Struthio camelus: one gene and its partner. The protein of the gene in region 2 interacts with the protein of the main gene of each other region in a biochemical or structural test. Links are inferred from orthologs where the notes say so. Each region holds a gene or a part of one and is shown on either strand. Other genes may lie near its edges.

Evidence for each region.
Region 1: the proteins of RACGAP1 (region 2) and ECT2 form a complex in vitro, tested with the Homo sapiens proteins (3 studies listed by BioGRID and IntAct, with this or other methods). The link is inferred for Struthio camelus from reciprocal best matches to the Homo sapiens genes RACGAP1 and ECT2.

What each region holds. Positions count from the first base shown.
Region 1 is NC_090950.1:27,061,235-27,064,980, forward strand, and holds the start of ECT2 (protein ECT2), read right to left. Parts: upstream 2,499-3,746; 5' UTR 2,376-2,498; exon of another isoform or gene 2,343-2,375; intron 1,363-2,342; exon of another isoform or gene 1,275-1,362; intron 1-1,274. UniProt on the Homo sapiens protein: Guanine nucleotide exchange factor (GEF) that catalyzes the exchange of GDP for GTP. Promotes guanine nucleotide exchange on the Rho family members of small GTPases, like RHOA, RHOC, RAC1 and CDC42.
Region 2 is NC_090969.1:1,513,617-1,517,362, reverse strand, and holds the start of RACGAP1 (rac GTPase-activating protein 1), read right to left. Parts: upstream 2,251-3,746; 5' UTR 2,236-2,250; coding exon 2,110-2,235; exon of another isoform or gene 2,093-2,109; intron 1,204-2,092; exon of another isoform or gene 1,152-1,203; coding exon 1,067-1,151; intron 793-1,066; exon of another isoform or gene 685-792; intron 586-684; coding exon 383-585; intron 1-382.

The sequences.
Region 1 (3,746 bases), on a different chromosome or scaffold from region 2:
GTTAGGTTCTTCAAAAGTAATGAAAGTGCCTATGGAGTTAATAAGCGTACATATAGGTCTAAGCGTACGATCTATTGTACTGTCCTACATTAACTATAACGTAGGAGTAGTACTCATTCATCAGATAAAGAGGTTTTACCTTCGCTCAAACAGAATATAGCAGTACCCTTCCCACCCATTAAACAAGTTTGCTGCACACTGGAAAAATCTTAATCCTTTCATATTTTGTACAGTAGCAAATCAGAATATTTATTGCAAGACACCTGCCCGAAATGTAGCACATTTTCCTCTGTGCTTGAATCCAAAAGTATGCATTTCCTGTGACTCAGTCACGCAAATTTAAACATTTGTGCAGTGGTAGCAATAACTGGGATAACCTCTGTGTCCGAACTGCTGCCATAAAATAACCCCTGTATCTCTTTGACTGAAGCAGCTCTCCTTATGACTATAAATGCCCCTTTACAAAGTCATCCCCAAAATAATACACTAAAGCATTGTTTGAAGGAAGACTGCTGAGGTAGTAAAACCCCAGGAGAGCAGCATCAACCACTTTTCAAGTGATGTAATGCCTGTCCAATTAGGCAGAAAAGTAAAGTCATAAGGCTGAAAACTGGGAGTTTTGCCGTGACAGCAACAGAGAAAAGAAGTTTATCTTCTAGAATCCAGGACATCACGTTTGAGACTTTAGATAGGATATATAACGTCTTCACACTGCATCAGATAAGCTCCTGACATTGCATTGAGCAATATGCCAATACCACAAACCTGTCATAAACCTAGGCATATTCAACTATAATTGCAACAAAGGTGGCAGCTTTGATAACCTCACACACAGCTCTGCATAATATGGTCCTCTCTTCTCTCCATATCTGCAAAAATACCAAAGGCACTACAATAATGAGGGAATAGGGGAAGAAGGAAGAGAAGGATAACTAAGAATAGGTTGGGAAGAACCAAAGAAAACCAGAGCAGCATTCAGGCATTGAAGTAGTGGATCCCTGAAGGGCACACGACAAAGAAGTTGCATTGTGTCCAGGATCCCAAGCCTTTACAGAAGGAAGTCCTAGTTCTCCTACAGCACAGCCACCTTGTCTTGCAGGCTGCATGGAACCAAGTTTCCTAGCAGTAGGTCCTGGCCACTCAGCTAGATTTTTATCTTTTCCAGAAGAAAGAGACCTAGCAAAAGGAGAAAGTAACCTCATCCAGAAAAGGTCTTTAGGAATCACCTGTCCAGAAGGTTATGAAGATACCACCAGGAACTATTATACATTTACCTTTTAATTTGGCAATGTGGACAGGGGATAATCTCAGAAGATTCCACATTGTTAGTCATTACTATAGGACAAGCAATTTTATTGAAAACTAGACAAACAAACAAACAAAAAAAAAACACAGAAAAAGCTCCACTTAAGGATGCAATTAAATTAAAATCCTACAAGCCCTAAAGAAAACCAAAAACAAAAACACTGCCACAAAGGAGTACTGATATAACTCCCATCATACTGCTGTTGTTATACCAACTAACTTGCACATGAGCATGCATTTTCAAAGAATTGCACAGTATATCAGGAAGAACTCCATACTGTGGTCTGCCCATGCAACTTTTTTTATGGCTTTTCTAATTTTTTTTTTAAAATAATCCTGTTATAGTAGCCATATCCAACTTTTTTTTTACTACCCTCTGTTATAGCTGTCACAGATTAAATAATGACATAGCACGACCAGTCACTGTACTCAGACATTGATAGTGCCAAAAACAGAAGAGAACAAACAGCCCACACAAAAGCCACGACCAACGCATTTCCCCTTCACATAAAAGGAAGTAAAAGGCACCATCACTACAGGATTCAGGTACCAGTGCACTTCCAAAGGACAGCCCCCATCACCTGGGGAGAGCCTGAAGCTCAGAACACCCACACCCCCCAAATATATATGTTTTTAAGCAAGTAGACAATATTAGTCTTATCATGCTGTTTGTTTCCCTCCAGAGGAACCACCTAGTAGGGTGACCAGGCTGCTGTGGTGTTGGGAGATGGCCAGAGGCCAGATTAGATACAGCCACCTGCTCTAAGGTTATGAAGCCAGTAGGTGCAGGGGAAGAACCCGCTGCCGGCCCAGAGAGGCCCCGGAGCGGCGATGAGCCTAAACCCGCGAGGGTTTAGGCCTCGCAGGTGCCCCAGACGCACCCCCCGCCTCGGCCCACCTCAACCTGCCCCGCCCCAGGCCGCCCGCAGCCCAGCGCCGCCCGCCTCGGGCTCGGCCTCGGCCTCTCCGGGCTCCGGCCCGGCTACGCCGCTCCGCGCCCCCGCACCGAACCCGCCCGCTCCCCGACACCCCGGTACCGGCTTCCCCCGCCCCCCTTCACGACCACCAACCGCAAAGACAGCCTCCGCCATGAGCGGCCGCCAACACCAATTCAAAAAGCGAGCCGGCGCACTAAGGGCGCCGCGCATTGGCTGTCCGCCGCGCCCCCCCCGGCCGCCGCTCTGTAAGCCGCCACCTCATTCGGCTTCCCCTCGAGACGTCCCGCCCCCCCTTCCCCTGCTCTTTTTGGAAGGGGCTTCGGCTTCTGCCCTCTCGGATTGGCTGCCGCCGCTGCCGCTCGTTGCCAGGCGGCCTCCTATTGGTGGACGGAAGTTTCCTGGGCAAATGATTAGGCCTTGTAGTGGTGCCTAAGAGCAGGTTGCTCAAAAAAAAAAAAAAAAAGGGGGGGGAAAGGGAGTGCTTTGCTCTGATTGGTCGCTGGAGGGTTTCGAACGCTTCCAACGGCCGGGGGGGGAGAGGCCCGGATGGAGCGAGCGGCGGTGCGGGCGGGCGGGCGAGGGGGCCGGGAGGTGTCGTGGGGCCGCAGGCCGCCCTGGGGGCGACCCGCGAGCGGGCCCGGGGCGCGCAGAGAGGCTCCGTCCCGCGGCCCTGAGGACTCACGCTGCGGACGCGTTACCTTTCCCTCTCGCCGTTACGCCCGAGCGGGCCTCCGAGGCTGCCTCGGAGCGGCGGTAAAGCAGGGCCCGTTGGCAGCGCGGAGGCGGCGGCGGTTAACGGCCGCAGCGCCCTCCCTGCCGCTGCTCTGTTACCGCGCCCTAATGAACACCGGCATGTTGTGGGCTCTTCAGGGCACGGGGTGGGTAGTTGTTCTCCAGACCGCCTTTAGGCACGACATGGAAAGGATGATAAATAATTATCCCGGCCATCATGAACGTATTAATGCTATTAAGAATAAGCTCTGCCTTGCCGAGGGTATTAGTGTCAATATATTATGCTGAGCTTCGGAATAATTAATTTAAAGCAAAGGGGGGGTAGGGGGAGAGCTGACGGGTGAAAACGCTGACAGGTTGAGATGAAAGTCAGCCAGCTGACTCAGTGGCACCAACCCCCAAAACAGTTATACCAAATGCATCCTCTGTTCCGTTCGTTTTAATTTTCTCTAATATTAACACTTTCTGATCTGGAAATGAATCCTTTGGTAGGTACTCAGCATCTCTGAAACCTCATTTAGCGTAATGCCTTGCTGAATCACTGTAAAAAGAATATGAGTGAAATAAAGAGTAGTTTTGCACTGTTTTCTATTACATGCTTATGCTTATATGCCAAATTAAGTTCTTGAGTATTACTCAATTTTTTATATTACAGATTTTTGTTAGTTCACGTATTTTCATGACTGATCCAGCACCCATTAGTGTTGTAAGAGTCCACTGACTTTTCACGGTTTGTAAGAAAAAGAGAAATAGGACAAACCAGATAAAGAT
Region 2 (3,746 bases):
GTAGCATCAGAAGCTGCCACAGCATAGACTACATTTAATTACCGTATGAACCAATCTCGAGTATTTGAGATACTGCACAGATCGTCTTTCTCAGAACTTGTCTCAGGAGAACGTTAACGGCCACAAAGCGACAGCAGCCCATGCTCTGCTAGGTAACAGCAGCTCTCCTGTAAACAGCAGCTGATAGGCTTTGGCCTATAAAAAGGCTATTCAAAGCAGAAGGCTACTACAAGGAGCCAAGCCCCCTCCCCCCCCTTTTTTTTTTTTTTTAAAAAAAAACAATTATCTTGGCTGCCAGTCCTTATTTTCTATAGATCAATGCAGATTAACCACTATCTCTCTGCAGTCTAATGAGCTAACTGGGTAATGAAGAATTACTCACCAACTTCTCACAGTCTGTTTCAGCTTTTTGCCTTCGTTTGATCTCCACGTCCACTTGATTGCGAGCGTGTTTCAGCTTCACATCCAGAGCACTACGTTCAGTTTCCGTTTTCATTAGAAGATCCTTGTACTTGGCAAGCTCATGCTCTGTTTTCTGCCACTTTCTCCGAAACTCTTCAAAGTTCTTTGCTAACTGAATAAATTCTGGGTAGAAAACATTTCAATCTTTAGTTGCTAAAGCGAGCAGAGGAAATGCAGCAGGCCTCTATTTGCTGACAGTAGGCATCTATCAATGTAACCCACCCTTGACAGAAGAGGCAGACAAGCTGGCCTTTCAGCAAAGCCAACTGCACTCTAGATGTTCACTAAGATTTCAGACCAAGTCCTTCACATTCGCATCAACCAGAAGAGCTAGAACATACAAGACTCTGCATGGATGAAGTCAGCTTGCTACAGAAGCAGAGCACAGCCCTGCCCAGTTCAGCCTGTGACTTCATCCTTCTAGACAATGAAAAAACAAACCAATCAACCAACCCCCACACAAGTCTGGCTACCCACATCAGTCTCATCACCCACAGCTCCATCAGATTGTCCAGTAACAGTCACTGATGTTTGTTTGCACGTTTATAGTCCCACAGCAAACACAGAGCAGCCCACTGGAACTACCCACAGAGACAGGACTTACGATATTCGTTTCCCTCACTTAAAACTTCGGCCTGGCGCATAAGCTGATCAAATAGATTCCGCAAATTCAGCATTGCTGTCTCCATCTTCCTGCCAAGAAAATGGACCTAAATAACCAGCCCAATCCTCTCCTTCCACCTTCAAGCAGAGGTTAGCAGCCCAAAGAAGACAAACAAAGACAGCATTTTAATCAAGACATATGCATCTCAACTAATTCCTAGAGCATTAAGAGCAGCCTCATGCCTCCATAGTTCAGGGATAAAAAAAACAGCAATATGAAGAGGCAAGTAATTGCTTCAAGTAATCTGCAGTATACTACAGAGGCTCAAGCCCCCAAGACAAGATGACTTTCTTTCTGGAAGGCTGCAGAACATAACTCGCACCCAGGCTATGAGTAACTTGGCACTATATAGGCCACTAAGATCTGTAAGGTTTCAGCATTTCATAAGATAAAAATAGGAGCAGCATTCTGAAGAGTTTGAATACAGTTTTAAATTTAGCTGCATTTTAAATTACAGCTCCCACAGCAAACAGCTTTTGAAATTCAGGGCAGTCAGCATGTTTTCCTCAAACAGCAGCAACAATAGCAGAAGAGAAGAAACGAAGAGAAAAAGTCTCCAGCTCAGCAACACAGCTATGACTTCTCTATCCAGCAGGGTCGTCAGCGAGCAAACCCGGGTTTATTTTATTGCGTGTGTTGCATTAAAGGCAGCAGGGTCGCTAGCCCGGCGCTGCCCAGCCCGACGGGGGCGGGTGAGGGAAGGAGGCCAGCACGAAGGGTGCCCACAGCCGCCTCCCCCTCTCCCCCGGGGCCCGGCCCGGCCCTCGGCGCCACAACCGCCCCCTCAGGGGAAAATCTCTGAGGAAACCGGCGCCGGGACGGCCCGGGCCGCCGGCCCGCGCCGAGGCCCGGAGGCAGCTCCCCCCACCCCCGGCTCCTCCCGGTCAAGCGAGGGCCTCGCTGGCAGGGCGAGACCCGGTACCGAGGGCCCCGGAGGCCCGGTACCGAGCAGCGGCCCCGCTTTACCTCAGCCGCCCGCTCACCTGAGGCGCCGGCCCGGCGCGAGCTCCCGCCGGCTGCAACCGCCCGGCCCAACCGCCCCGCACTTCGGTTTGAATCCCAGCGGCCAGCCAATGACAGGCCGCTCTCCCGCCCTCCCGGCCGCTCATTGGCTTCGCTCACCGCCAGCCTGAAGCCGAGCCGGCGCCATGTCTGCTGAGGGCGTGGCTTCTCTGCTCCACTCCCTCGTGCGAGGGCGGACGGGACCCCAGAGGCCGCGTGATGAAGCCGGCCCGGCGCCATCTTTACTGCTGGTTCCTGGTCCCAGCCTGCGTTGCTTAGCAACGGAGCAGGCGGCGGATGCTGACAGGCCTCAGATCGCCCCAAAATCGTGTCCGTCCCCCGCCTCGTCCGTGCCGCCACCCTCCGGGCTTGTCACCGAGGCCCGAGCCCAGGAACAGCGGTCAACCACTCCCGTAGATGCGGGGGGTGATGGGCCCCTTGCAGCCCTCCGAGGCTCCCCAGGCGCCTCGAAGATATTTGATGAAACGTTGTCCAAAATCGCCTTCGCTTCCGAGGAAACGCCGATGGCTGCGGCTTTGGAGGCCTCCAGGCACCGACCACAGCAAGACCGATACGCGAATTTCCACCCCCGAGGAGGAGGAGGGAAATCCGCGGACCCGGCTTCCCGGCCCGAGGCCGGTGGGAGGAAAAAAAAAAAACCCCAAAACCTCCATTTTCCACACATTCCCATTCACCAAAACCTAAAACCTCCCAGCAACCTCTTAACACACGAACGAGGCCGTTTATTAAGTGCTCCCGTTTCGGGAAAATGATGCCTCCACCGACATGTTTGCTCCGGTTAAAAACCGTTAATAGGATTTATGCTAATCTGCCGATGCCGGCCATGGCCGAGCATCCCTCCCCGCGCCGGGATCTCGCCGACGCCGAGACGTTTTTGCCGTTTCCTTCGGCAGGTCTCGGCCGCGGATTAAGCCGCCGGGAGTCCGGCTCACCCCCCCCCCCCAATCTTTTTTCCCATGCAAACGGCAAAAATTAATCTTCCGTCTTCCTCTGATATTTGGGCTGAAATACAAGCTGGGAGGGGAGATAAGCTGGGGGGGGGTAACGGCGGTGCTGCCGGCCGCGGGCCGCCCCAAACCGCCCCAGGCGCCCCGCGTCACCCCCCAACCCTTAGGTTTCTCCTAAGGTTCCCGCGGTTTCCCGTCACCGCGGAGGGAAGGGACGGTCCCCTCCTTCCCCGCAGGCGAGCAGACACGACCTCGGTCGCCGCCACCTGCTTAATTATTTTTTGCTTTGCAAAGGGGAAAACGTCGGCCGTGCGTTTAACAACGGCTGCTTGGGAGTAATTGGGGTGATTATTGCATGGCCCAGGGGAAAAACCGCAGCTGGTTATCTCCAGGGAGTAGCGTTAGGATTCGGCAGATAATCAGAGGGTTATTTGTAGCACTTTAGATGTCACTTCTTAACGGATTTAGGAGCGATCGCGCTCAAACCACGCTGTCGGGGCTGCTCCCAAACCGGGGTGCCCAGGGACCTGCAAGCGAAAGAGCTGCCCAGGCCGGTGCTGCTGCTGCAGGGCGACGGGCGGACGTCTCAGCGAGCTCGGGGAAGTCCCCTTAAAGCTCAAACCCTTCCCCATCTGCCTGCATCAAGCCTT